Linked DNA regions of Daphnia pulex. The protein of the gene in region 1 interacts with the protein of each later gene in a pairwise test. Links are inferred from orthologs where the notes say so. Each region holds a gene or a part of one and is shown on either strand. Other genes may lie near its edges.

The links.
Region 2: the proteins of cytoplasmic FMR1-interacting protein-like (region 1) and membrane-associated protein Hem-like interact in binary tests that used the Caenorhabditis elegans proteins (3 or more experiments, as listed by UniProt). The link is inferred for Daphnia pulex from reciprocal best matches to the Caenorhabditis elegans genes gex-2 and gex-3.

Annotation. Positions count from the first base shown.
Region 1 is NC_060025.1:3,983,926-3,999,330, forward strand, and holds cytoplasmic FMR1-interacting protein-like, read left to right. Parts: upstream 1-6,128; 5' UTR 6,129-6,240; exon of another isoform or gene 6,241-6,321; 5' UTR 6,322-6,342; coding exon 6,343-6,552; intron 6,553-6,624; coding exon 6,625-6,804; intron 6,805-6,886; coding exon 6,887-7,068; intron 7,069-7,136; coding exon 7,137-7,265; intron 7,266-7,335; coding exon 7,336-7,543; intron 7,544-7,606; coding exon 7,607-7,810; intron 7,811-7,872; coding exon 7,873-7,992; intron 7,993-8,059; coding exon 8,060-8,131; intron 8,132-8,195; coding exon 8,196-8,410; intron 8,411-8,477; coding exon 8,478-8,608; intron 8,609-8,671; coding exon 8,672-8,842; intron 8,843-8,913; coding exon 8,914-8,996; intron 8,997-9,236; coding exon 9,237-9,305; intron 9,306-9,521; coding exon 9,522-9,595; intron 9,596-9,664; coding exon 9,665-9,838; intron 9,839-9,908; coding exon 9,909-10,137; intron 10,138-10,195; coding exon 10,196-10,741; intron 10,742-10,810; coding exon 10,811-10,980; intron 10,981-11,071; and 5 more. Other genes in the region: WD repeat-containing protein 55 homolog, read right to left, coding at 12,140-12,775, 12,858-13,024, 13,099-13,172, 13,244-13,426, 13,518-13,926, 13,986-14,100. UniProt on the Caenorhabditis elegans protein: Required for initial steps of body morphogenesis. May play a role in egg laying and yolk protein clatherin-mediated endocytosis by oocytes during oogenesis.
Region 2 is NC_060019.1:12,577,586-12,592,749, forward strand, and holds membrane-associated protein Hem-like, read left to right. Parts: upstream 1-5,988; 5' UTR 5,989-6,082; coding exon 6,083-6,187; intron 6,188-6,288; coding exon 6,289-6,393; intron 6,394-6,458; coding exon 6,459-6,602; intron 6,603-6,674; coding exon 6,675-6,817; intron 6,818-6,878; coding exon 6,879-7,040; intron 7,041-7,103; coding exon 7,104-7,219; intron 7,220-7,284; coding exon 7,285-7,495; intron 7,496-7,558; coding exon 7,559-7,655; intron 7,656-7,720; coding exon 7,721-7,902; intron 7,903-7,970; coding exon 7,971-8,125; intron 8,126-8,184; coding exon 8,185-8,389; intron 8,390-8,464; coding exon 8,465-8,597; intron 8,598-8,662; coding exon 8,663-8,782; intron 8,783-8,840; coding exon 8,841-8,971; intron 8,972-9,037; coding exon 9,038-9,285; intron 9,286-9,347; coding exon 9,348-9,450; intron 9,451-9,510; coding exon 9,511-9,739; intron 9,740-9,773; exon of another isoform or gene 9,774-9,813; coding exon 9,814-9,907; exon of another isoform or gene 9,908-9,974; coding exon 9,975-10,141; and 12 more. Other genes in the region: histone H2A deubiquitinase MYSM1-like, read left to right, coding at 1-152, 225-395; 25S rRNA (cytosine-C(5))-methyltransferase nop2-like, read right to left, coding at 784-990, 1,056-2,044, 3,099-3,117, 3,540-3,885, 3,952-4,265, 4,327-4,566, 4,629-5,476, 5,546-5,645. UniProt on the Caenorhabditis elegans protein: Rac effector required for tissue morphogenesis, cell migrations and egg laying. May play a role in egg laying and in yolk protein clatherin-mediated endocytosis by oocytes during oogenesis.

The DNA.
Region 1 (15,405 bases):
TTGACCAATTAATTCCAATTTAAAAAAATGGAGAAGAAAAACAGTTGTGTTTATCGTGCTATCAATTTCGTTTTGACGACATGTAACTTAAGCCATTCATAATACATAACAATTTTGACCTTAGATTCGATTCTACACAATATCTGCTTTCCATTGAATGTTGGCCTGATGTAAATCATAGGCCTATCTTTGAAAACCGTCTTGACTTTAAACCAAACGAACATTTCTTTGCCTAACAACGAATCGCATTCTTTGAGAATGGATTGTTTCTTAACAGTTATACGAGATGATGCGCTGACACTAGAAAGACCGAGCAGAACATTACAACGGCAGCTCTCACGCCGCCAGCCCAAAGTAAGGTAATAAGTAAGTCAACAGCAGTCGCTTACTACATCAAACACGAAACTTTTGTTTGAAACGTGTATAGGCGGCGCCTCTTGATTGCGCAACGAGTCGGCGCTCAAACGGCTCCCCAGCGAACAACAGCGGAGATCCGCAGCAACAGCACAAATTCACAGCGAAATCCAATGATCAGGAAAAAGTTTCTTTTTTTTTCGGGATAAAACCCCAAAAAGTTTAACAATCTGGCGGTCATCACGAATAAAAAAGAAAAGCAACATTTTTCTGTCAGCTTTTTGTATTATATGAGCGCGAACCTATTGTGAAAATACGGCAGTCCTCTTAAAAGTCTACCTAGCTTTAATGTTACGATAAGTCTGTGACAGCTTTTTAAACACCAGAAAATCTAGAGTGAGCTGGATGTGTAGTAGTACAACATTAGTAGTTGTCATTGGTGTACAAGGAACGACCAGGGTAGTATGTATAGTAGCCAAGACACACAACCGGACAGTTCAAAATAAAAAGCCAATGCCGTTTGACATTTTTTTTCTTCTCTTTTCATTCCAAGAGAGAGAGAGAAAACCAAAAGGACGGGCAAGGATCTATAGCTGAGGAGCCGCCAGTCAAACACTGTCAAGCGATGACATGATGAAAAATGGAGCGAGCCATTGGCGGGAGCAACAAATCTGTGACTATTCCCTTTTTTCTTCTTTTCTTTTCTTTTTTTTTTCTTTTTGGCTTGATCCTTTTAGCTGTCTCATTCTTTCCTTCTTTCTTAACTAAATGCATGTGCCGTGTGTGTGTGTACAGGCGTGCTTGCGTGCGTGTGTGTGTGCCCTCTGCGTCTTGGCACAGCCATCGGACGTGACTCGACTGACCAAAGCTGATTTTTTTGAAAGACTATTCCCCCCTGCTCAAAAACCCTTCGATCCTAGACGCAAGTTCAAACGCCATGCCAGCCGGAGAGACCATTGGTTATGCGGTGAAAACGACGCAGGGGCCAAAGAAAAAGAAAAAAAAGAAAAAAAGAGAGAGAGAGACGAGGGATACATATATATATATGTATAAGATGGTTATCGTTAAATATATTCCGATATGTATTATTCTTTGTGTGCTGTGATCGAATTTTCGGTCAACTTTGATCGCTATTTCTTTATTTGGTTTGGGTTGATTTGTTATAACTGTGAATGGTGATGATGTGATGTTAAATCAAAAATAAATAAATTGATCATTTGGCTTTGATATTACAACATTTAAATATGAATTGAATCACCAGAGCACTTATTTTTTTCCCTCTAAAAATATCATTAATCGGAATACACGCGGGATGACCAAAATGCGTTGGCTGATGATCTCCCCCCACGATGGGAATATAAAGAAGAAAAAAAAATCAGAGTAGCTGAGGTTGCGTATATATACGTAATAGGGCGCTGCAAAGTTGGAACTGTATATATGTACAGGCCTATATACCCTGTGTGTGTGTTTTTTTACCCAGTCTAAATGTCGGAAAGAGCGAGAGAGAGAGAGAGAGAAAAAAGTAGTAAGGAATACGATACTCTGTCACTGTATGTTCGTTTAAATGCTGGATGCGTCTATAAAGGCCGTAGAGAGAAGAAGAAGAAGAATAAGGGGACGAGATTGAGCGACTGATACAGTTCTATAAGGAATCCGGAGGGGGACGACCGACGGTTTGGGGCTTGGGGTTTTGTGGAGCTCCGCGCTTCGATCGTTATTTTCTTTTTTCTTTTTTTTCTTTTTCCAAAGAAAATAATAGTAAAAAAAAAAGGAGACCTCGAAAAGAAACATAAAAATCGAGTGGGGGCAGTTCTGTATAGCTCTATAGGCGAGAGGGATGGAACGAGACAGCTAGGAGAGAAAGGAAAAGCTAAGGGGAAGTGGGATATAGTAAACTATATGCTACACGGTTGCGAGGAGGGGGGTTTCAATAGCCCAGGCCAGCAGAGAAGGGGGGGGGGAGAAATCGGGGGTCGAAAGAGGAGATGGAAGAGGAGAGGAGAGAGCGACAAAGATGAAGAGGAACTCAGGAACATGGTGAATATATAACAGGGGGGATTGCGGAGCAACACGGGTCTCTGGATTTTTCCTTTTTTTCCCCCTCTCTTTAATTCCATCTCTCGAATTCCCTATACTTCCCTCAGCTATTATTATAGTATATATAGACGACGCGCATATATGTGGATGGATTTGCTATACGTTGCTGCCCTCGTTGAATTGATTCTCCCAGCCCGCCCAACCCCTCCCGCGAGTCCTATATGGTCTTTCATAATCCATGACTCAGAGTGTAGGGAGAAGATTGTCAAACCTAAGCCGGCATGGCTAATGCCCGATCATAAGAGCGGCGTCGGCGTCGTCAGTCGTCAGTCGTCCTCTGAGCAGAGTGGCGTACGATAATGAAAACGAATTAGCCCAGCGCAGAGTTGATTACCCCACACCAGCAGAAGTAGCTCAGTAGCTCAGTAGCAGTAGCAAATGTATTAGCCACTTGACACAGGAGGAGTGCTGATTGCTATAGCTGAACGCTCTACAACTCTAAACGCTGGAGACGCTGTGGAGACGGCCCGATCTATATAGGTGACGTAATGCCAGAGAGATCAAGTCGAGAGAGAGAAGCCAGTTTAACCCGCGTGTCGGTTTTGTATATATAAACAAAAGGGACTGGCGGAACAAAAGTCCGCCAAATCTATTCAAATGCTTCAAAAGGATTTGCGTCTCTTTCAAATCTAGAAAGCGGCGACAGCAGCTCTACTGGCCAGCAGCTCATTCCTGTTTTAATGGATCTTTTAATGTCGACCATCGCGAGAATGTTACATTCATGGCGATTTCATTATGTAATAGTCACCACCCCATATACTATATGGTTTGGCGAAATGTGACTCTCAGCTAGACATTATTTCGGCACATTCGTCACAACAGTCGGTCCATTTGGTTATTGAGAGCTGTCTCCTAATTGGTTCCTTGGCGCTCAATTAGCTACTAAAAGCCTTGGTTAACATAAATTAGAGGGGAAATTCGAGAGGGGCTATGTAGCTCGAACGAGTGACGTGTGTTGCACTGCGAAAATTCAAGCGCTCAATTGCTATTAATTTATTCCAATCACCACACTCAACAGAAAAGAGAGACCTCTATCTGAACACATTCAAATTTCCCGCTAAACAATGTTTTGCTTCCAAGAATTGTAGTTAAAGAAAAGCCATTTCGCAAGCCCAATTCGCCTCTTTTTGGGTTGTTCAAATTGTCAAGCTCAAATTACAGCTAACTGCTACTGTTTTTTTTTCATTAATTTTTTCTTTCGGTCATTTCCTTAAACGACTCAAATCTTTTAACGATGCCTCTCCTCTCCATCTGTATTTGAAAATAGCACGTAGACGCTAATGAAAAAGCTAAGAAATGAAATGTAAGATATAGATTCGTGTTACTAATAATGCTGAAGCACACAATTAGTACATCACATTCAATTATCTGTGTTAAATTCAGAAGTCTCGAAAAAAAAATTGCTCATTTAAAAACTTCAAGTCAAAGTTTCTGGTTACCGGTACGACTACGGATCCAGCATCCCGAAATTCCCAATGAATTAGCTAGCCATTGTTCCGTTTCTATCGTGATGAAAATGAGCCTATCAGAGGGAGATCGTGATGAAGAATGCCGAAAAGGGAAAAACTTTGAAATTTTCCCATCTTTTTAAACCAATAGCAGTCCGAGACCTAGAAATTCTTAGCGGAACAAAAAATCACTCGTCAAGTTTCTCGAGCAAGGATTAAATCAAAACTAAAACTTGTTTCAGTGTCTATTTTGACGGATTATATAATAATAACAAAGTGCCCCGCCTCTTTTTCGCGAATAAATAAGAAGAATTCGAGAAAAATAACAACAATTCGAGAATGAACATTATTATATTACTTTTTTTTGCGAGTTTTTATTTATTCATTAATTTTATTCCACTATAGTCTCTCTCCGAGCTGATTCGGAAGACGGGAGAGAAAAGTGGACGTGGACTAATGAGGGAACCCGAACAACCGAGAACAAAAAGAGAAGCCAGTTGGTTTTCGTCCAATCAGATATATCTCTCTCTCCTCAGTTTCATCGCCGTCTATACCCCATTGTCATGCATCATTGTATCTGATATGGGAAGCAGAAAGTGGGAGTCAGCCGACCACGGGTCATTAGTTCCAGTTTCGTCCATGAGGAGAAGCACAAGGTGATAGAATGTACACGAGTCGTTTTATTTTGTTTTGTTTTTTTCCCTTGAAAGCGGTTTGTGAAACTTTCCTCAGAGTTTTTGTTTTATCAACTCCCAACTTTGCATTTACCAAAAAAAAAAAAAAAAAAACATTACGACAAAGCTTTGAACAACATTCACGAAAAATCCTCCCGTTCATTTGGGAACATAGAAAATAATATTCAAACGAAAGAAGTGAAAACCTTTTTGTTCCGTTCGTTTCTTTCATATCGAAATTATTTGTACTTGCTTGCATAAGCATTCCCATCGTTCCAGTCTCTGTAGTAGGACTGTAGGAGGTAGGATATAGAAGGTAGAATGGGTCGACTTCTTCTGTCGCAGCTAAGAGGGATTGAGCTGTCCGTCACAAGAAAAATAAATGAGCGTTTCGTTTAATAATTTACCGACGGCTTTTGGGGGGCGAAAGAGGTCAATAAGAAAATTTCCGTCGGGTTTTTGTAACATTTGTGACTTGAGTCATGGGAGATGGTTACAATTTTAGATTATTTTTATATGGAAGTACTTGTTTAAATATTTCTTAATCACAATTGTTAGCGCACGTGTGAATAGTAGAACTGGTGTTGTAAAATAATAAAACTATTCTTCTTATTCTCTTATCTTATTTCGTTTTTTTTTAATTACATCAAAAAATAATTGTAAATAAATAAAATTGATGTAGTCGAATCTAGTTTCTCATACGTAAATAAGCTGCTGGGTTTATCATGGACGGAAAGGTTATAGAGTCCATTTACTCAACCCTCTATTTGTTGAAATTAATTTACACTCACGAACAAGACAACAATCAAGGAAGAAGGAAAGCAAAATTGGCAGAAAGTCCGAGATGCCTCAATCCGACTTGAATTAAAAAAAAACAAAACAAAAAAACTTGTAGTTAATTCCCTGAATTCAGATTTCGATTATTTGGTATGTGCGAGGAGAGGACGAATTTGGTTAGTCTTTCTGTCGAAGAATCAACACGTGAGATGGGGTTCTCTAAAAACCACTAAAATAAAAAAGAAAACAAAAGAATGAGGAGCACAGTAGAGGAGTCGAATGAATAAATATAAATAAATTTACTTATTGTATTATTATTATAACGTATAAAGGAGAGAGTAGAAAGAAAAATGGGATGTGGATAGACGGCATTGATGTTGACGATTAGTAATTAGTATTCAAGGTATGACTCTTCCCTTTTCAGCTAACCAAGGTTATCCATCCCCGATGCCATAGCAGCAACAACAGTTTGATGTTTATCTTTCTATTTATTTATTTATTTTTCCATTTTATGACCAAAATGTTTTACAAGTGGAAAAATAATATCAAATGATTATTAAAAAAAAAACTATCGGTGAAACAGAGAAGAAGAAAAGATGCATATTATAAAGGGTAGCACTGTGCTTAGCACATGCTATCGCCTTCGTACCTCAGTGAACGGAAACGAATCCGTTCCTCACCACTTGGGGGGTTCCGTTTTTCAGAACGCAGGAAAAGTTTTCATGCGTTTCCGTTCACTGGTCACTGGTGAAGATTGCAACGCCACAAAGCATCTAGCGTTAGAATTTTGAAACATTTCAAGCAAAAGATTGGACCAAAAATAAGGGCGTCTGCCAAGTTTGTTGAGTTTGACTTTTCAGTGCATTGTTGTTGATGACATCCGTTTCTGGGTAATAACACAAGCGTTGGTTGATTGCCATTAAAGTAAACAACGTCTGCTTATTACTTAATTTCAAAATCTATTCAATCAGTGACTTGGGTTATGCTACAACATGGCTACCGAGAAAGTTACACTCGCCGATGCGTTATCTAACGTTGAAGTGCTAGATGAATTGCCACTTCCAGATCAACAACCATGTATCGAAGCTCAGGCTTGTTCAGTTATTTATCAAGCAAACTTTGATACCAATTTTGAAGATCGAACTGCCTTTGTAACAGGAGTTGCGAAATACATAGAAGAGGCAACTGTTCACGCAAGCCTGGTAAGCAATAGCTACAATGAGAATGACTAAACTTTGTGTTTCAAATATTAATTTTGTAATACTTTGTTTTAGAATGATATGCTTCAAGAAGGTCAAGAGCATGCTGTAATGCTGTACACTTGGAGATGCTGTTCAAGAGCAATTCCGCAGCCTAAGTCAAATGAACAACCCAACAGAGTTGAGATATACGAAAAAACAGTTCAGGTCCTGGCTCCAGAAGTCAACAAGCTGTTAAATTTCATGTATTTTCAAGTAAGTATAATATACTCAATGAATTTAAATTGTTTGTATGTTTTTTCAGTTAACTGACAAAGGTTGAATTACTTAATTTCAGAGAAAAGCAATCGAGCGCTTCAGTGCAGAAGTGAAACGACTTTCCCATACGGAAAAGCGTAAAGATTTTGTTTCTGAAGCTTATCTTCTCACTCTGGGAAAATTCATTAATATGTTTGCTGTTCTGGATGAATTGAAAAACATGAAGTCTAGTGTAAAAAACGATTACTCTGCATACCGCAGGTAAGTCAAATATTATTCTCTCCACCATTAAAAAATAAATAAAGATACCTATTGATGTATTCTATTAGAGCTGCCCAGTTCCTTAAGGTGATGACAGATCAGCAAGCGTTACAAGAATCCCAAAATCTGTCGATGTTTCTAGCTACCCAAAACAAAATTCGCGATTCACTTAAAGAAGCTCTCGAAAAAATTCCATCGTAATGCGGCTTTATTTTTATGAAACTGATAACGACTAATTAATAACATTTTTAAAAATGCTTCATTTAGTTATGAGGAGTTGCTTGCCGATGTAATCAACTTGGCCGTTCATATGCTGGAAACTCGCATGTACCTTCTTCCGGAAGAAAAACATATGCTGGTCAAAGTTCTCGGTTTTGGATTGTTTCTCATGGATTCTGAAATATGTCAGATAAACATTTCCAAACTAGATCACAAAAAGCGAATTAGACTCGACAAAATCGACAAAATTTTTAAAGTTTGTTGGCTCTTTTGATTTTATTTCATAGACTATTATTAAACCTTTTGTTTATTTTTACAGAATCTGGAGGTTGTCCCTCTGTTTGGTGACATGCAAATTGCTCCATTTAATTATATCAAGCGGTCAAAAACCTACGATGCTTCACGATGGCCCTTGTGTGGTGCAACTCTACCTTCACCTCAGGCTGATTTAATGGTTCATTTGCCACAAATCCGTGAAGATCACGTTAAATTTACGAGCGAACTGGCACGCTATAGCAACGAAGTAAACTAATGTCATAGAGGAAATAATGCGTAATGGTCTTAAAAATAATTTTTGTAAAACAGGTCACAACTACTTATAAAGAAACGCGCTCCCCGGAGGAGATGAAAGAAATGATGGAGCTTGCTCTTCGTGGGCTACAGCTGCTGTCTGAATGGACCAGCATAGTTACTGAACTTTATTCTGTAAGACTTGTAGTTATTTTTTTTTTTTTTAATTAATTTCAACTAAGAAATTCATTTGTGTAATTAGTGGAAACTCCTGCATCCTACAGACCATCACCAGAATAAAGACTGCCCCGCAGAAGCAGAAGAATATGAACGCGTAAGGCTTGTTAACATGTTATTTAAAATTGAATTTGTTTTTAAATAAGCCCATTTACGGATAGGCTACCCGATACAATTACACCGAAGAGGAGAAATTTGCTCTCATTGAAATCATTGCCATGATAAAGGGATTACAAGTTCTCATGGCCAGAATGGAAACGGTATTTGCGGACGCTATACGTCGACATGTCTACGCTGAATTACAAGATTTTGTTCAGCTTAGTTTGCGTGAGCCCCTAAGAAAGGCAATCAAAAATAAGAAAGACTTAATTCGCAGGTAAGAGACAGAGAGTTGAAAGATCTGCAGTGTAAACTGGGACTGTTAGTAACTGAGGTTGTTTTAGCATTATCGTCTCAGTCCGAGAAACCTGTGCGGATTGGATTAGAGGCACTGAGCCACAGGACGACCCAGCTACTAAAGGGAAAAAAGATCCTGATAATGGGTTTGATATTCAAGTTCCACGACGAAATGTTGGTATGTCAAAAAATCAAACAAAAGACGCTTCTTCTTTACGGACATTCTGCCTTTATTTTACAGGACCTTCTTCGACCCAACTTTACATGGTTCGCACTATGCTAGAGTCGTTAATAGCTGACAAATCTGGTGGAAAGCGAACGCTACGTAAAGACATTGATGGATCATACCTTATGGCAATCGACCAATTTCATAAAAATTCTTTTTTCTGGAACTATTTGCTCAATTTCAACGGTATTTTATATTCAACCTTCGATTTTTACTGAACATACTTTTTCCTAACATTTGTTTTTCTTTTCTCGCAGAAACACTGCAACAATCGTGCGACCTTTCACAACTTTGGTATCGAGAATTTTATCTTGAGATGACAATGGGCAAAAGGATTCAGGTAAGAATATGAAGCTGTTTCTGATCTGGATTTCTGTCAGTGCGAAATTCGGTGGCTGGGAAAGGCTTGGCTCTTTGGTTTATGGAAAAATGGCAATGCAAGCACTTGCCAGTCTACTTTACTTTACCTGAAAGAGGTTGTAAGTAGTATGGCGTGTGCTAAATTTTATTATTCTTTTTCTCTGTCGCGTCTTTCTTTCCTTCGCTTTAAATATCGGTCATTGTCATGTCGAAAATTCAGAAATGTTGCGTGAAACATCAACACAACGAGGAGTGCAAAGACGTGGTCACACTGGAGAAAAGGATTCAGGTATAAGCTGTCACCTTGTTGAGAAACTTCCTCAGCATGATGTCGTATGCTTCTGACTTGAGTAGATATATGCTTGAATTAAACTAAGGTCCCAGCATGGCCTGCATGTACGCAAAATCGCTTGTTATTTAACAGTTAAATTTGTAGTCTTGTAGTTAAATTAAAAAAAATTTCAACATGATTTTACTACATGTTTTTTCGTCTCTTTCTTTTTAGTTTCCTATCGACATGTCGATGCCCTGGATCCTGACTGATCATATTTTGCGTACGAAGGAGCCTTCTATGATGGAGTGAGTTCAAACTCTAAATGCGATTTTTCTGTTAAATTTAAAGTTTGATGTTTGATTTGTGTTTACCAGGTGCGTACTTTTCCCCCTTGATCTCTATAACGATTCGGCTCATTATGCGCTGACCGTTTTCCGCAAACAGTTTTTGTACGACGAAGTTGAAGCTGAAGTCAATCTGTGTTTCGATCAGTTCGTCTATAAGCTGAGCGAACAAATTTTCGCCTACTACAAACACCTTGCTGGCAGGTAAGCATTGCACATTGATTGCTAAACATTGCTAACTTTTCGTTAATAACGTGCGTCCTAACATCCTTAGCATCATGCTGGACAAACGATTTCGTGCTGAGTGTGCCGCATTAGGTACGCGCTTTACCTACCCTCCTGCCAATCGTTACGAAACTCTGATGAAACAACGCCACGTTCAGTTGTTGGGACGTTCAATTGATTTAAATCGATTAATATCTCAAAGAGTTAACGCTGCACTTCTTAAGGCACTCGAGCTATCGGTTGCACGTTTTGAAGGTGGAGATATCACCGGTGTAGTAGTAAGTAATTAAAATGAGCAACTTTGTCCAATTGGATGTAACACAGTCTCAATGACAGGAATTAAGCGGTCTCCTAGACGTGAACCGATTAACTCACAAATTGTTGAGCAGTAACCTTGCGATGGATGATTTCGACGCTATGTGGAGAGAAGCCAATCATAACGTTCTGGCACCCTATGGCCGAGTGACGCTACACGTCTTCTGGGAACTCAACTACGATTTCTTACCCACTTATTGCTATAATGCCGCAACAGGGCGCTTCATCAAGTGCCGAGACCTACTTTTCAGTCAGCCTGTTCACCGAGATAAACCACCTCAAACGCCTTACCATTATCTTTGGGGCAGTAAGGCGCTCAACATCGCGAATGGAAACATCTTCAATCAATATTCCGGATTTGTGGGTGCACCACATTTTAAGGCTATTTCAAATCTTCTGGGTTACCAGGGCATCGCCGTAGTCATGGAAGAGATCCTCAAGATAATCAAATCGTTAGTACAGGGAAACATTTTACAATTCACCAAAACCCTAATGCAGGCGATGCCAAAACAGTGCAAAATGCCTCGTTACGATTACGGATCAACTGGTGTCTTAGGATATTATCAGGTAGAATTTAAATAGCTTCTCCTAACCGAGAAACAATTATTAATTATGTATTTTTTCTTATCTTTACAGGCCCAACTGAATGACATTGTTCAATACCCTGATGCGAGGACGGAATTATTTCATAATTTCCGAGAATTCGGGAACGCGCTGATATTTTGTCTTCTGATTGAACAAGCAATGTCACAGGAGGAAGTTTGCGATCTACTTCAGGCAGCGCCTTTTCAAAATATTCTTCCAAGGTATGTATTATTTTTCCTTTCCATCATTTATAGTAGCTTTAGCTCCCCCTAACGATTCCTTTCGTTTAATGGTTTTGATTGAAACGTACAGACCGTTCGTTAAAGAGGGCGAAAAATTGGAAGCCAAGCAGAAAAAACTGGAGAACAAGTATGCGGCATTGCAAATTGTCGCCAACATAGAAAAGCTGGGCACCGCCAAGCAAACCTTGATTGCACGGGAGGGAGATCTTTTAACCAGAGAACGTCTTTGCTGTGGTCTTTCTGTCTTCGAAATGGTGCTCAATCGCATCCGCACCTTTTTAGACGATCCAATTTGGACGGGTCCTGTTCCTGTCAATGGCGTCCTAACGGTCGACGAGTGTACAGAATTTCACCGACTATGGTCAGCTTTGCAGTTTGTGTATTGCATTCCTGTTGGCGAAAACGAATTTACCGTTGAACAGCTTTTCGGCGAAGGACTTCACTGGGCTGGATGCACTATGATTGCCTTGCTTGGACAACAACGAAGGTTTTGATCTTACTTTTTCAAAAATAATTTTTAAAACAGGGCTGCCTAATTGATTTTCCGTTCTGTCGTTAGATTCGAGGCACTGGATTTCTGTTATCATATTTTGCGCGTACAACGCGTCGATAACAAAGACGAAACTGTGAAGGGTATTCAACTAAAGCGATTGGTTGATCGAATTCGCCGCTTTCAAGTCTTGAATTCACAAGTCTTCGCTACGCTAAACAAATATTTAAAAACGAGCTCGGGTGATGTAGATTCTCAACCGGTGGAGCATGTGCGTTGTTTTCAGCCTCCCATACATCACTCTCTTGCAGTGAATCAGGGTCATTATTATCGACCTGACCAACTACTTCGTCAGTCCATGAATGTAGCCAACACTTCTGGGATAATTGCAAACTTGACGCTAGAACAGCACTGAGCATTTTAATTCGTCTATACATTACTTGTTTTGTCTTATCTAATTTCATTCAGGTTACGAAATATTATGAAATCATTTCCCAATCACTTTACATCCTTTAAAGAAACCTTCATTGCAACGATGTTTTCACCATAATTTCTATATGCCTTAGATCAGTTAGACGTTGCCCGTTGCGATTGTATTAGTCCCGACTTCTTGAATACACCATTCACGTAAAGATGTTAAAATGTAGGTTATTCATCATTGTCTGAACTTACTTCCGACTCTGCTTCAGAAGCAGATTCAGCGTCAGAATCAGATGCTGCATCAGAATCAGATTCGGCTTCAGGTTCGGCAGCTTCGGCAGGTCCAGGCTCAGGTTCGGCAAGTCCCGCGAAAAAATCTCCTTTGTTCCGTCTCTTAGAAGACGGTAGCTGAAATCCTAATTTCTCTTTGCGTAACGAACGTTTTTTGTTGCGGACAGATTTCTTCGTGGTCGACTCCATCAACTTTAAATTGGGATCCTCAAAGTAGGAAATATTCCAAAACCGCACGCGTCCGTCGTGGGATGTAGATGCTATGTAGTGACCACACGTTGAAATGTCTAAACGCTCAATAGGAAATTTGTGGTGACCTACTACCCCCAAGAACCTATGTGGGAATAGACTAATGGCACGGATTTTCCCATCATCACAACCAGTAATAACGATGTTGTCCATGATGGGAATCATGCAGTTGATCGCTGATGGATGATCCCCAAATGCGTCACTGTGGTATCCAAATGCTTTCCAATCAAAGATGTACATGTTCCCGTTACCAAGGCCAGCAATGACCTTTGTTTCTTGTCGAATGAGACCCACACAGTTCATTTCTGATGGGTAGACTTCAGACTAAAAATTAAAAAAAAATAAAAAAATAAAAATAAAAACACTACATATCAGCTGAAAATGTATAATTTTTATTTTTATCTACCTGCCCTTCCATTTTCTTGGCTCTTGTATTAAATGCAGTCAAAGTTCCTTCTCCGCTAGTACATACTAAGAGCCGTGATCCTGAATCAGTAATCATTGAACTGACGAATTCATCCATCTCTTTATACTCTGCAACAGGCTTCTGGATAGCGCGACGCTTATCCCACACTTTAGTTTCAAAGAGGGACACGAATTGAACACATTAATTCAATCTATTACAAACTGAAACAAATAGAATATACCTTTCACTACACCATCATCATCCCCGGATGCCCAAATGTTTGCATCCATACAAAGTAAGCTGTAGATTGGAGAACTAAAAAAAAAAAAAAAAAAAAAAAAATTAATAGACTAAATTGGGAAGTTGAATTATAAATAAATTATTACTCATGAGCTTTGCGGAAAGATTGCGTAACTGTCATAGTTTCAGTATCGGTAATTACAACACTTTTATCCTTGGAAGCAGAAAACAGAAGAGCTCCATCATGATTAAATGACAACACACGGCAAGATTTCTTGTGGTGATTAAGTGTGTGCAACAATTCATTTTCTTCATTTCCATATTTATAGCTATAAAATAAGGGGAAAAAATCATGACAGTGGTGAAGCAATAAACTTAATATTTGAAAGACCAATAAATTTGTTGTTGCTTAATATGTACCATGTAATTTCTCCTTCAATGTTAGACATTGCAATGAGTTCTTTGCTTGGATGAAAGCTTATGTCCGTCACCATACAATTCACAGAGCTTCTTAAATCAGGAGGTTTGATTTTCTCTTGCGGTTTGGCAGCATTACAGATTGCAATGATAATATCAGCATCTTCTTTCTCTTCTCTTCCAGCAGCAAGTTGCTCAATGCTCTCTTCCATTTTCTCCATCTCTTCTTCTTGTTCTTCTTCACTAACTTCTTCTTGAACTTGTTCACTTGTTTCCTCATTACTCAATTGACTTTCATCGTCTGTGAAGTTTTCATCATCGTCATCTTCATCAGAATTTACTTTATCAGGCATATTTTCTGGAAATTGGGGAATAATGACTGGTTTCCTCTGTTGAGAGAACACTTCTTTGGCTACTCAAAAAATTAATAATTACTACAATAAAATTTATGATATAACAACATGACCAAACCTTGTTGAAGAAAAAGGCTCTCTTCATCTTCATCACTAGAAGAATTTTCGCTCATATCCTCCAATTTTCTCTTTCCAGTAAGAGTTGTTTTATCGTTTAGATTTGACTGGCTCATTTTGCAGTTTATTTTTTATGGAATCGTCACAATTCTTGTACAAACTTGAAACTACACAATTTCAACAAAATGTTTACACTAACACGTGTGTTCTTGTCGTCTGCTTCTGCTGTGAATATCCATGGACTACTTTAACCATAGCCTACTTTATTATAGGAAGCCCAAAGGAAGGATATCTCTCGCGTGTTGGAAAAGTGAAGCCTACTTTGCTCACCTTTCCTCCGATTTAGCATCCTCCAAGTGGACCCAGGGGGGCCATCTGGTGAGCGAAATAATGACACCTCCTACTTCTCTCTCTCCTACTTTCTAATATGGGGATTACTTCTCAAACGAACTTGCTACAGAACCGGGGTGAAAACAAAACAAAACAAACTCACAAACACCTCCATCTTTCAATCTGATTCCATTCCTTCGCAAATGAAATCATATCGATAGAAACGTAAACAAATCCGTGTTTTCAAATATCGCCACTAGACGATAAATTGGCTCCCGTGGGTCCACTTAGGGCGGAGCCAAATAAGAGGAAGGGAACCCAAATTGGCTTCCAAAAAAAGCCCAAACCGTTGGGCTTCCTATAATAAAGTAGGCTATGCTTTAACTAAAGGACGGGACTCTTCGCCTATCTCGCCGTGTTAAAGCTAGTCGGGTGGGGTTTGTTCAGGAGATAATTAATGGAAAACATCAATAAATGCAGTTTTTTTAGCTGATTCCAACTGTGTTTATAAATCTTAGTAAAAAAACTAATTAATAAGGTATTCTAATTTTACTTTCAGGAGTAGGGGTAAAATTAAAAAGACAAAACACCGGTGCCATCTAGCAGCCAAGCACCCTAAGCTCTCAAGAATATATGCCACAAGGTAAAAGAGAGTTAGGCAGCTATGTGAAAGCAATAGAGATAAGAGAGTGGTGTCTCTTTCTCTTGGTATGCACGAATGGGCATCTGCTTGCAGACTTCCAAGAGCTTAGGAGGTTTGGTTCCTAGATGGCACAGGTGTTTTGTCTTTTTTCCAATTTTCCGTAAAGTAATTTGCAATATCTCTATAACCGTACATTTTAGGTATAGGGACATTAGGTAACACAATACATATTTTTAAATTTTGATTCCGATTCTCCCGGAAAAATTTTTACATGCCCGACATAGGAAAGGCCGAAGAGTCCCGTCCTTTAGTTAAAGTAGTCCATGGAATATCCAAGTATCCAACATTTTCAAATATATTATTAAGAAATGTTTGATTTTATTAAAATCATGATTTTATTAAAATAAAACATAATAAGAATAAGATAAGAATAAGAAATGTTTGATTT
Region 2 (15,164 bases), on another chromosome or scaffold:
ATTGCGGGGCAAATGAATTGAACAAAGTTCGAATAACACTTGATGTTTTGGAGACCAACCTAGATCTGTGTCCAACTTTGGTCCCCCTCAACAGCAAGTATCCTTACCTTCCAACGCGTTCCGAAGACGGGATTTTGAATTACGCTAAAAAAGTGAGTTGCTAAACCGTAAATTTTTTAGTTTGTTATCAGTTGTAATACTTACTAATGGATATTTTTCTGCAGGCTCTGTCTAGTATAAGAGCACACTTGGAGAACGTAGTTACAGGGTCACTTATGAATGACATCGAGGAACTAGCTGAAGGATTCCTGAATCGATTAATAGCACGTCATGCCAGTCGTGTAATCGTCTCCCCTGTTTTTACGAGTACCCTACCTTGCAGCGACTCCAATTAATTTATCAGTACAGGTTTACTGATTATGATTGAATCAAATCATCCTCCTCTTATGAGAAAGACCACGCTCACATGTACATATAGCATGAATTTTAATCCGGGCGACTTCTTGTTGTGTTTTCTTTGTTCTGAACTTTAATAAATCAGACACACTTTCATTTGTTTTCTTGGCAAGTAATTCAGTTCGAAATTCTGGTCAATTAAAATATTGCGATTAGAAACCAAAGGTTGAGGTACTACATAATATTGCTGACGTGTCCTGTTTGACATTCCGCCACTAAGTAGGGGATAAAATGATCAGACGGACTTGGTGACACTATGATTATTATAAATATTGGGGTAGGATTAACGTTATCTCGACTTTTATGTGCTATTGTATGTACATGTTGTTATGTGCATGGATAATATGCTTCGAAATACTGATAGACGTTAACGAGAAGGAAAGCAATAATGGAGCCAATAGCTGATCCCACCTGTGTGAATACTCCAAACCAAAACAGGTTGCGATTTCCCTTTCCTTCTTCCATACGGAAAAGAGACGCAATGCTGACTTTGACGTACGTCAGGAGGCCGACGCACAGGATCCACGAAAGAATCTATCAATTGGAATGAAAAGCTTTTTATCAAATTTTACATGGGAAATGTGTTAACTTATTAATACCATAAGCGTTTCTCCTGAAGGATATCCGACCAGAGGAGGTGTCGGACTTAGTGCGGCTAGTGCTATTATGTAAGCAGAAACAGATGTTCCCAAGAAGGAGAAGACGACTATCAGACATACATTTGTGATCGGTAGAAAGTAGGCGATAAGACATGACAAAGGATTCGCCATAGCCGACAAAGTAACTGCAAAATGATATGCCGTATTCCCATAGGGTAAACATGAGTAACTTTGTATGCTTGGGAGAGCTCCATTACTCAGAGCACATACCCAAGCTTGCAACAGCAATAAATAGATAAAGACAGATTTGGGGATGTCTGTGTTGACCTGCTGTTGCTCTTCGCTTACCGAGTCCAATTCAACTTGGTAATTTATCTTTGCAGATTTGCCGTTGAACGTTGGATCAACTACTTCTGTTGACGCAACAAAAGTCTGATTATCTATAGCTACAGGTATCCGGGTAGCTACCGACTCGTAACGCTCTTGACGAGCTACTCCACAATGATTAAGCCCGATGAAAGAAGCGGCGCAACAAACCATCAAACCCATCAGGATGAAAAAGAAAACTGAAACTGAGAAATTGGGTTCAGGATAGAAAGCTTCTATCTGCCACGATTCGGATCCATTCACAATGTTCGAGATATTGCGGCAGGATGGATTGCCACCGACACCTTGAATCAGTGCGAAGATGCTTGGTAGAAAACCGCTGAGACCTTCGCCGATCAGGTAAGACGTCAGGTACGCTTGACGAAAACGGGCCATAAAAGGCATGAAGAGAACTGAACTGGAGCAGTCGACCAGGGATAGGAAGAAGAGTAATGTAAGGAGTCCTGTGCTGTGTTCTTCTCCGTTGATGTAGCTGGTAGCATCCCAGAAGAAGCCCATCAGAAGAGAGGAAAGGACTCCGATGACCATGAGGACATAAATGCTGGGTTTTTCGTGAACAATATGAGGTACGAGAAGATGCATAACGGAATAGAAAATGGGCCCTGTAGGTCAAAATTAAATTAGAAATCGACTATAAAGGTAAAATTTAATTCATTGATACCTATGTTAGCTATCTGGATGATGATAGACATAAAAGATGGAAGACTCCATCCTTCAGGTAGAGCTTGAACGAGGAGAGGTAACTCTACCCAGAGTCCGTTGATTGAAATCCAGGCACCTACTCCAAACATGACAGAGAGCATGTCGACAAGCGGCACACGTCTCCTTCTTGATGATGAATCCATGTTTGTTCGGCTAACTTGCCAGTTCCGACAAGAGATTTTTTCCAACGACCTAAACGCTCTAGAACACGGAACCCAACTGAAAGTAGAATGTCTCAAACTTTTAGAACTATGGCACTGGTCCAAAGGTTGAAAGATTACAATTCAAGGAGGGAGAAGGTTAAAGAAACGCCCTTAGTTGTTTGCTACTTATGAAAGGGGAGATCTTAACCCAATAACGGTCAATAAGAATATTCGTTGTTGGGTACTCATTACACCGCGTTACTCTATTACATTCGGCTACTGTTATAGTGATTGAGGCCGCAAAAGTTCTTGCTCCCCCCTAACGGAATAGATACTTGTCGAGTTACCATGTTACGACTAAAAAAGGTCCAAAGGAAACGGAAAGTATCAGATAACTTATAATACGAAGAGTCGATCGAAGGGTATTAAGAAAAAAAAATAATTAAGAATACAATCCCCAGTTTAAACATCCATCAATTACTCCTTTAAAAATAGTTAAAAAAATTTAACATTTGTTCAACCAATACCAATTATTCACTTTGTGCGACACGGGAGAAAATACACGTGAAATAAGTACAAGCAGTACACGTGACAGATCTTTAATCGGCTAAAATGAATAGTTGATATGCGAACCGCGTTGCCTCACACGGCATTGAGCTACGACTTGTGATAAGAGGAGAAAGTCCTTCCTTCGACAGGACATTGCCCATGATCTTAGTTGAAAAACATTATGAATAATCGTGATCTTACATGAGCAAAATAAATAAAATTGCCAAACAAGCATGATGAAACATTGTTTAAAGTCACTTACCCAAATCCAGGCCGATTTTCTTATCATGTTTTCGGAGGGTTTATCATGATTTGATGCAATTTATGCACTCCTAATATAAAAAGAAGCTGTAGTGTTGGGGTTTGCTTTAGTGAAAGGAAATCAAACCGCCGGTGATGTAATGGGTGATTAACCCAACACTCAGCAGACGACATGCCATTTGTAAATTACGAGCGCCCCCGACGGTTTCGTCGTCAAAACAAATAAAATACGTTGATAAGTTCTTACCTTCCCTGAATTAATCATAATAAAAACATAATAAAGGCACAAACAAATGACACATACTACCTCATGATCCTGGATCACATTGCTATTTTCTCAATGAAGAAAACGGTTAGTATAGAGTGAAACAACCGAGTTTATTTCGTAAAAAACATCCTATTTTCTCAGTTTCTTAGGCCCTTTCATTTTGTTGTTAAGAACCTTTTTCTGTTGTTTTCCCATTTTCTTCTTCACGATAGCGCTGCCCTTCTTGGCGACTCCATTGACCTTGTCATCTTTTGCATCAATTCCATTTTTAGCAATTTTCGGACCTGTCTTTTTATTTAAAGAACCGTTTGCCTTGCCCTTCTTCCTCTTCATCCTCTTGCTCTTAACAGTCTCCTCGTCAGAATCGTCGCTGTTCTTTTCTTCGGCCACTTCTTCTTCAACTTCTGGGGCAGCAGATGGTATATTGTTAGATATCTTCTTCAACTTGGCTACAAAGAAACCATCCATATTGTGTGTGTGGGGATAGAATCTCTTGCATAACTTTACAGATGGGTGGAATCTGAAAAGAAACGAAAATTAATGATTACTGGCATCCAAATGTGCTTGTTTATAAAAGAAACCTTACACTAATTTCTGGAATCGAGGGAAGCCATCTCGACCGAAATCGAGACCAGTCTCGACAACCTTGACGTGACGTTTCTTCAAAGCGTAATCTACTACCCATTCGTTTTCTTGAACAAGTACAGAACACGTTGAGTAGACGATGTAACCACCTTCATCGGCACAGTCGATGGCTGCCAGGATAAGCTCCTTTTGAAGATGAGAACAACGGGCAATGTCTTTGCTGTCTTTGGATGTTTTTGCCGAAGGATCTTTGGAAATAACACCTGAACCACTGCATGGCGCATCCAGTAAGACGCGATTATATCCCCTGCTCATCTGAACAAAATATTTGAAATTAGTAAATGAAACATGAATATTGCTATTCTTAGTAGTCAACCTTGGGTAAAATTTTTCCGTCGTAGGTCATCACAACAGCGTTGGTTACTCCAAGACGATGTAAATTACCAACAACAGCCTTTGCTCGATCAGGATTCGCATCGTTAGCGAATAGCATACCAGTATTCTTCATCAGCGCAGCAATGTGAGATGTTTTACCACCAGGAGCTGCACTCATATCGAGAACCTTGTCGCCTTCTTGAGGTGCCAGTGCCATGACAGGCAAAAAACTAGAAGCTCCCTAATATTTTAAGAAATAAATATAAGCTTATAGTATAACAATTTACTAAGCATTTTATTTACCTGTAAAATGTAGTGACCAGCCAAATACTCGGGGGTTGCACCGACAGGTACTTGCGAGTTATAGATTACAAGACCAACTTTCGACCACTTTCCAATAGGATCAAGATTCACTCCTCTGTTGATGAGTGCCTGAGCCAAGTCTCGCCTTCTCGTCTTTAAGGTATTTGTACGAATTGTCATGGGCCTAGGAGTTTCGTTTGCTTCGAGGAATTCGATCAATTCGCCAAGCGGAAAAGTTTCCATAAATGCCTCCATAAGAAAATCATTGTAGCTGTAGTAGGTGCAGAGATCTTTACGTAGTTGTTCAAGGTATTCAACTCTGTCACGACCCTCTTCGCGTTTGATGGTGAAGTCGCTCAAGACCCCTATAACTTCTTTAATTCTTGATTTCAGCACTGTCAAATCTGGAGGAAGCAGCACTTCTTTTTCAATTTCTTCTCCACTTGGAAGTGTGTACTTTTCTGACTGCTGAATGTTCATTTGTAGTTCTGCTTCAGCTTCCTCGTCTACTTTTTCTTTCTTCATTTTGAGTTGTTTTGACTTTTTCTCAATAGGTAATTCTTCCTCATCGTCATCATCAGAACTGCCTTCAGAGCTTCCCTTGAAGTTGTCAGCCAGAGGCTCGTCATCACTACCTTCTCCCATGCTATTTGAATCTCCATCATCAAAAAGGTTCTTTTTTTCTCCCTCTTCATCCGACAAGTCTTCACTGTCAAGAGACTCATTTGACGTAAGTTTATTTTTCTTGACTGGCTGCTTTTTACGAGTAGCTGTTCCAGCTTTGACAGCACTGCGTTTTGCCGCACGCTTCTGTGATCTTCTGCCCAAAGTTTCTTTCGGTTCTTTCACTAAATACCAAGAAACAATTATTTTAATCAGCAAGTTCTCAAAAAGCAGAACATGATCGTTTCACATACCTTCTTTTAGATGGTCTGGTAGCGTTGGGGGTTTCTGTTTTTTGGCTTTCCTACCCGGACCACTGGGAGTTTTCTCGACAAAATTACCTTTGCGTCCCATTTTAATTAAATTAGGATGTCAAGTATACAACAAAAACTACACTCAAAAGATTAAACAAATCACTTCAGACGGCACGGTCAACACGTGTTGTGTTACAATGGAAGTTGGAAGTTGCCAAGTTGGGAAATTATCGTATGCCTTTGATTTGCATATTTCTCCCACTCTCAACATGAATGCAGCAGCGCCAAACCAGTTTCAAGATATATTATATTGAAAATCAAATATTAATTTTGCAAATAACAAATGAAAATTTAGATTTTTATTATTTAAAGAAATTAATTATATTTTTATACCATTTTTGTATTTTGAATAATATTTTAAATGAATGGCAAAATCGTATGCTTCAAAGCTGTCAGATGCCTTGGTTGGTCGTCTGTTAAAAAACTTGTTTATCCTGCTCATTTCGCTGTTTTTTAAAACAGCAGTTTATTATCGCGATGGCTCGCCCGCTGATTCCCGGTCAGCAAAAGCTTGCTGAAAAATTGTTAATCTTAAATGACAGAGGTCTGGGAATGCTAACACGGATATATAACATCAAAAAGGTAATTGCCGATGAAGATGAATGGGGTGTTGCCCCTCCCCTTGCTACGTTCTGCACGTAAGTCATTTGCAAATATCTGTAACGAAATCTTATCAATTGCAGGCATGTGGGGATGCAAATTCAAAACCAGCATTTTTGTCAGACAAAACTTTAGAATCTTCCATCAAGCTTGTCATCAAGAAATTCCCAAACATTGATGTCAAAGGAGTATGTTCAAACGTGTATCTATGTTTACAAACAAGAAAATGTACTTATCTTTTTCACCATCTTAGCTTCAAGCTCTGCAGCCACATCGAAGTGAAGTGATGAAATCACTTTCTCTATACTACAATACATTTGTAGATCTTTTGGATTTCAAAGACAAAGTTGGAGAACTACTTACAACCATGGATGCATGCCAAGTTCACTTGGATATTGTAAGCTACCTAAAAATATAAAACTAATTTCAAGTATACTTAACCTCCTTCTTGTTAATTTATATCTCCTAGACTTTGAATTTTGATCTTACAAAAGCTTATTTGGACCTTGTCTCCACCTACACCTCTCTGATGATTCTCCTGTCACGTGTTGAAGATAGAAAAGCAGTTCTGGGACTGTACAATGCTGCACATGAACTAACACACAACCACAGGTGCATAACTTTAAAATGCATCCCACATTGAAAGGTCTCATTAACTTTAAAATTATTATAGTGATGTGAGTTTCCCAAGACTGGGCCAGATGATTATGGATTATGATCCCCCACTGAAGAAACTTAGTGAAGAATTCATACCCCATTCTAAGTTGTTGGTGTCAGCTCTTCTTTCTTTGCAAAATGTTTATCTTCGAAGAAATTTAACTGCAGATAAATGGAGGTATAAACCATCTCATCAATATTTAAATGTAGCATTGCCTCATTTTTTAAATTTATTACTTAGGTCTGCTCAAATGCTCAGTTTAACTTCGAACCAAAACCAAATGTTGAACCCGGCACAAACAGATACCATGCCTTGTGAATATCTTTCGCTGGATTCATTTGAACGATGGATTATTTGTAATTGCACATTTAAAATATCAAGTTAAACACATTTAACTTAATTCTTCTTCTACTTTAACAAGATGGATTCACTCTTTGTCACCAGTTCCTAGCTCAACCAGTAGCTGTCAGTTTATGGATCAATGCTCTGCAATCTGGTTGGGTGTTGCCTCTCTTTCGCGACGAAGTGATTTGTTTTCACTCTTACATTCAGACGTTTTTCGACGGCATCAAGGGCTACGGAAAACGAGTTACGGAAGTAAAGGAATGCTTCAATTTAGCCGTATTAAATTCGTAAGAATAACAGAGATATTTAAATTCGTTGTTTGTTTCTAAAGCTAAGGATTTTTTATACAGAGGAAAAGTCCACATGGATCGACGCATGTTTCTACGCACAGCTCTTCGGGAGTTGGAGCTTATCCTTACGGATCAGCCTGGTCTACTTGGCCCTAAAGTAAGTCCAAGGATATTATGAGTTACATCAGTTGAACAAGATTGTCACACTAATGAATTCTTTAGGCTTTGTTCGTGTTTATGGGACTTAGCTTTGCCCGAGACGAAGTAAATTGGTTACTTCGACATCATGACAATCCTCCACCAAGGAGTAACAAGGGTAAAACTGCTGAAGATTTGGTCGATCGTCATTTGCCCGAATTACTTTTTTACATGGAAGAGATTCGGGCTCTAGTTCGCAAATACAGGTGAGGCGATCTAATACATTTGTCCCTGTTTAGATTTTACTTTAATAGTTACAACTATATTATTTCAGTCAAGTGTTGCAACGTTATTACGTCCAGTATTTGTCGGGTTACGACGGCGTTTCTTTGAACCAACTCCTGCAACCTTTACAGACATTATCCGAAGAAGAAAGCATAATTTTGTCATCGCTCTGCAACTCCATTGGTGGACTAAGCATCAAGCAAGGTAGAATTCTAGAGTATTCACGTTAAAGATTGAGGTGTTAATGTATCTTATTTTTACAGTGGAGGAAAATGAATTGTTCGATTTCCGTGGACTTCGCCTCGATTGGTGTCGCCTGCAAGCATATACCTCAGTTGCTAAATCACAACTAGTCTTAAGCGACCATCGTGACCTGGCAACCCTACTTAACACAATTGCATTCCATACAAAGATGGTTGATGCGCTTGACGACATGCTGACAGATACCTCGGACCTTTCAATTTTTTGGTAAGCTAGTAAGCAATTAGATTCAATAACAAAATTTATAATGACATGCGATTTTCTGCGTATTCCCACCTTCAGTTTCTATAACAAACTGTTTGAAGATCACTTCCACATGTGTCTGGAATTCCCAGCGCAGAACCGGTACATTATTGTATTCCCCTTAATTTGCGGGCACTTTCAAAATTGTACTCACGAACTTTGTCCGGAAGAGGTAAGCGTTTTTCTCATGTTTTTTTAAAAAGCGAGGATCTCGTGGGTAAAACTTTCATTTTGCAGAGACATCATATTCGCGAGCGAAGTCTATCGGTAGTCAACGTCTATCTTGAGGAAATGGCTAAAGAAGCGAAGAACATAATCACTACCATTTGCGACGAACAGTGCAATCTAAGCGATAGGGTAAGAATAGTACTTTTGTCTATGTTTGATTGATATTAAGTTTTCTTCTTTGAAATAGCTGTTGCCGAAACACTGTGCTCCTCTGATCGCGCAAGTAGTCAACAAGAAGAAACGCGAAAAGTTTAGGAAACCGGAGGTGGACAAACCCGGAATGGAGAGTTATCGAAAAACAAGAGAGGACCTAACCACGTAAATATTTTAGAGTTGCAAAAGAAAAAGTATCTTGCTATTGTGCTAAACTGTATACTCCTACAGGATGGATAAACTACACATGGCCTTGACGGAACTGTGCTACGCCATTAATTACTGCCCAACAATTACTGTATGGGATTATGCGTTTGCTCCTAGGGAATACCTCTATCAACATCTCGAGTCTCGATTTGCTCGCGCGGTCGTAGGGATGGTTATGTACAATCCTGAAACGGGCGATATCGCTAAACCCACAGAACTCTTGGCTAGCGTGAAAGCGTACATGAATGTCCTCCAAACTGTGGAAAACTATGGTAAGGCTCGTCATTTTACCTGAAGATAAATATCGGTTGAGTAAAACGGTTATTTTTCCTAGTTCACATCGACGTTACCCGGGTTTTCAACAGTGTTTTGCTTCAACAGACTCAATCCGTGGACAGCAATGGAGAGAAAACCATCGCTGCTCTTTACGTTACCTGGTCAGTTTACTGTTATGATAATCTATATCATAGAACAACAATAATCACCTTTTACGATAGGTATTCGGAGGTATTGCTTCGTCGAGTGAGTGCAGGTCACATTTGCTTCTCGCCTCTTCAGCAGGCTTTTGTAAGTCTTACAGCTGAGGGCGCAGTGCCCTTCAACGCTGAAGAGTTTTCTGATGTAAACGAATTACGGGCTCTCGCTGAACTGATTGGTCCCTATGGAATGAAATTGTTGAATGAAACGCTGATGTGGCACACAGCCAGCCAAGTGCAAGAGCTTAAAGTGAGAATAACTTTCTGTTTTTGTTGTGAATTACAATTTCATCTAATAAACTTTATTACTTTTTTCAAAAACAGAAACTTGTGTTGATGAACAAGGACGTTCTCGTGGCTCTTCGAACAAATTTTGATAGACCAGAACACATGAAAGAATGGGCAAAACGCCTCCAACGTAAGTCAACTGAGCATTAATTTGGTGACTGGGTAATTGTTGATTTTTCATTTTTTTAATTCATCAGAGGTGGACAACTTACTCCAGAGGATGACAATTGTCGGTGTGATTCTTTGCTTCCGCCAGCTTGGTCAAGAAGCGCTGAATGACGTGTTGAATCAACGTGTTCCTTTCTTATTGTCGTCTATTATAGACTTTAAGGAACATTTCTCCGCAGACGAGTCGGATGCGACGGTAAAATTTCTTTTCAATGAAAGGCTTCGTGTTGTACATCATGCTTATTTCGTCGTACCAGGTGGTGAATGAAATGGCTTCCGCAGCTGGATTAAGTTGCGTCGTCGATCCAGTTTTGGTAACTGCCCTAAAAGTACAACGAACAGGTAACTTTAGTAACTGTTTAGTATCCAATTACGTCATTACGATTATATTCTATTTTTCATTTTAAACTAGAAACGAATGAAGACGAACATTTAGTAGCATGCTTATTGCTTGTATTTATTGCTGTGGCCTTGCCACGCCTAGCCAGATCAGAATCTTCAATGTACCGGTACGTTTGATTTTGTATTAAATTAGTAAGACTTCCTGTACTTAACCGGTGTTTCTCTTTTAGAGCTTACTTAGAAGGTCACGCAAACAACGCACATTGTCTAGCTGCCGCTGTCAACACTGTCCTGTGCGCTCTATTCGCCTTGTCGGGTAGAAGGGACACTGAGGAAAGATTGAAAGAGTTTCTAGCTGTAAGTTAATAACATTAATGTGCTTAAAAATATTTTAATGACATTTAATGTTTGCTACAGTTGGCTTCGTCAAGTCTGTTACGCTTGGGACAAGAAGTGGATAAAGAGGCTATCAAAAATCGAGAATCAATCTATCTCTTGTTAGATTTGGTAAGTAGTTATGTAATGTGTAATCGATTGGGCAGTTTAATCCTTTCCTTCTTGGTTTTTTAGATCGTTCAAGATTCTCCTTATTTGACCATGGATCTCTTGGAATCATGTTTCCCATATGCACTTCTGCGCAAGGCTAATCAGGCAGTCTTCCGCTCAGATAACGTCACTTCCTAAATTTCCCTTTTCTCTTACGGTAATCGATCATCTGACAAAACAGGAATTAGATGAGTAGAACTCGCATTTTATCTTCAAATATTTACATGAGCCACCTTACTGAATTCAGTATTCTTTCTTTACTTCGTTATCATCTCATTGTCAGAATGTACTGTATGCCTTGACGACCAATAAATTCCTAGAGCTGTATAACTTTTTACTTTGGATATTACGAAGTACAAAGGCGATACAGGAAAATGTCACTCTCACTTTCTCTTTGTCCTACAAGAAAACTGCAGGACTTCTCTGGTCAACACCCTTAGAAAATTGAATGAAAATGCGTTTGTCTAATTAGTCAATGTTTTTGTTTCATCTATAGTTATGTTGAGTACTTTCGCAAATTAGTGATGGGTCACATCATAAATACTGTGCCGACTTCTCTTCTAGTCGTCATAAAATCCATTAGTATCATTTATGTTATCAAAAAATGGAATAGCGCGCAACTCAGAGCTAGAATTTTTTTAGCCAGTACACCGAAATCTCATTGTCAGGTACTGTTATGCACTAAGTCAAGTGAAATAATGGCAGGAACACTAAAAGATCGGTTTCTCCTCTCGGCTTTGGCACCGTTAAGTATTCTGTTTAAAGTTACGGGTGTTTTCGTGAATCAAAACTCTGAGGCCCAATGGAGACAACGCCTTTACCGTTTTTGGACTTTTGTAGTACTAGTTTTGGCCATTCAGAGCAACTTCTACATATTCGTCAAGCGCACATTAATAATAGATTTTTTTTTCGGCAGCCAGGAAATAAACGTCGATAGATTTATTCAAGTACTCGTTAGTGAACTAATTCGACTTAGCTCACTAGTTTCCGATATAATTGTTCACCTTAGTTTGGTATTTAAAATCTGGCCATCGGTAACATTGTTTTTAGAGACCCTGGAGACTGTCGATCTAGATTTCGGACGGCCAAATTTGTCGCCAATAAAACGCTATTCCATGTTTGGTCTAATCTATGTTCTTTTTACGGTTAGATCCTTCTTTTCAACATTTTCAAAAAAATCAGTCACTAATTATATTTTTCAAAGGTTGTTTTAAACTGTACATTTTCCATCTATTGGGATTCAACCCATCCGAATAAACCCGCTTATTGGTTGGAAATGTTTCAGAATTTAATCAGACTTTTCTCCAACCAGGGGTTTTGTAATTATAATCACGTAGTTTCCATCAATTTACTTTGTAAAGAATCAAATGATATTGTACTACAGTTTCACCGTGTTACCTGTTTGGATATTCATCATTTGCGGTCAACTATGTATATTCTACACCAGGGAGTTGATTACCAACTTAAATTTGTTTTGTGCTATGGTAAGGAATGCTGGAGTTATCCCAAGTCGAATTGTAGCTCAGCGGACCTTTTCGAACCTGCGCTCTCTGAAACAACTTTATTTGGCCTCTGACCTACTTCATCGTCACTTTAGTACAATATTGGTGGTAAACTGCTTCCTGACGGTGGTCACAATGTTTACTTCTTTTTACTATTTAATCGAGCTTTTTGAACGTGGTTACGTGGTTGGGGCTTGCTGGGAGGTCAGTGACGTTCTTGACTCTTTTGTTCGTTTCTGGCTCATCTGTCATACGAGTGATCGGATTCGGGAAACTGTAATTATCATCTAATATCTAATATTTCACTAGGGTTTAATCGGTTTATTTTGAAATAGAGCACAGAATGTATTACTGTCCTTCGCAGCTTACGGGACACTAGAAACGCGACGACCCTCAGCGAGTGTAATAAGGTACCGGAAATAACGAATTCGAGATTAAGTCGTTAATAACTTTGAATTTTAATGATGGTTTAACAGATTACTTCTTATATCATCGAAATATCTCAGATGAGCAAAAATTTAGAAAGACAGAACCTTAAAGGAATTTTGTCTTCGTCCAAACGTCTTATTATCCCAGTAATAAATTGGCATTACGTATTTTTTCCAAATACTTATTATTAAAACAAAATTATTTCTTTAGACCTTGGAGACTATTTTCATGTATCTTCTTATCATCTACCAGTTTCAAAGTGCTGTCAACTGCCAACTCTCTGATCTGTACCAGTGTGTAACTTAAAATGGGCGGGACGAAAGGATCCCACGGGATCACAAACAATTGTTCGTTTGTCGTTGCATTTGACTGTAACACTATTATTTCTCATCAATACAAATTTATACGTTTGATTCGTTCACTTGTAACTAACGTTCCGGTATACTAAACTGTGATAATAAAATGGTCTTACCTTATTCGCTGCACTCGCAAAAGTGTCGATAAAAACTAACGCCGTAAGTAGGGCCTATGTGAAAGAGAAAATGAAGATTAGAAATTGCTTAGCAATGTTAAGCAACACAATGAGAATATAGTGATCAAGAAACTGAGATAAAGAACTTTAACACCAACAACAGTAATTCATTTGGGGCCTTGTGCCATAACTCATAATTTAATCACGGGCTATTTGGGAACAACATTGCTAGAGAACAGACTTGCCCCATCGCTGCTACACAGGCATGTTTAAAACTTCGATAAAAATAATAAATGCAATCATGAGTATGAATTTAATCATGCCACAATTTTTCGAAATTTAATACCATATGTTTAATACAAATTAATATATTTCTTTCTTGAATGATTGAGCGCAAATAATAAATTATTATAACGGAAAATTAGAACGTTCTATTTCCTACTCTCTGGAATCCTAGTGATAAGATTAGAACACAAAACTCCTGTGTGGCAGTTAGAATCTATAACCACTAAGCTATTGCTGTGATTAACTAAACTAAATTTTAAGCATTGCATAACACTTTCAGTTAAGCAATCAGACCGGATGTGTAGCCATGGCATACTGGTTATGGCACCACCAGATCGATTGCCATCGTAAGAAGTGGGACATTCTTGTACGCCGTTGTACTCGAAAGTTAACTATTAGTTGATAAATAGTTAAAGTTGACTAATTTAGCTGTAACAGACCAGTACTATGAGAGAAAGCGATCCCTGAATGGACAACATTTTTGTTTCCCAAAAAGGAAATATTTTGATTACGAGGACAAGAAAAGCAGAGGGGCAGGATTAATCCACATGATCGCCATGGCTAAGCTGTAGCTGATACAAATTTTGGCATGCGGTGCTGACGGATGGTTTAATCGGCCTAACCTGGCTCTTGAATAGAGTTCCACGAAATTTGAACCCTGGGGTTAGTTCAGATAGCAGGGCAATTGTAATGTAACATTTGAAGAAGTGTCCATGACCTGCTGTCGATGAAAACTAAACCTGTTGTGCTTCATTCGAGACATTTCTAGATAGGTGGTATGAGGAATGATAGGTTGCTTGCCACGGTCTACGCCTCAGACAAAAAGGGAAACATTGGCATAGCCACTAGGGGAAGATCCTGTTGGTACTCGTTCACCTAACTTACTTTAATTTCGCTTTCTTTAGAAAAATTTTCCTTTTCTTAGAAAAAAAAAAACAACTTGATAATGGTTATGAGGCAGAAGAAAAAATACTCATATAACACGAAAGAGATCCCCTTGATTAACAAATAACTAGAACTAAATCTGAACCAAAGTTACGTATTACTTAAAAGTCTTAAAAATTCCTAGCACGATATCTAGTGCGATCACCACATGACACAACAGTAAAGAGATTGAAAATGTGATGATGAATTTAAAAACTTACTTGGCTGTAGGAGAAACTTTCCATCCAGCAGAAGTATGAGATAACTTGGCGTTGATCGTGTGTCCGGCGACAGTGTGGCCATCGAGCTTGACTTTGAGTGTGTTATCTCAACGGTTGTTCCAACTTTCAGCATTTCAGTTAAGGGAGTTTGTGATGGAATGTTCATTTCATCAAGCACATGTTCTCCATCACTAGAATTTTCTGGATTTTTCAGAGATATCGTCACACTACTTGCATGCTATTGAAAGGCACTAGACTTGTTGGATTTGAGTTAAACGATGGTTTAATGTCTAACACTGGCCTGATGCACACACAACATTCTCTTAAGCACACACCCTTTAAGTAAGGAGTCATTAAAAATCCAATGCAGGCGAAACGATCGACGTGATCTGGAATGTGTTATTAGGCTACTTGTCTCGTTTGTATCAACCACGTGTAAGGGGAGGGGACACCTTTCGATATAACACATAGTTTTCTAATGGACAGTGGAGAAACAAA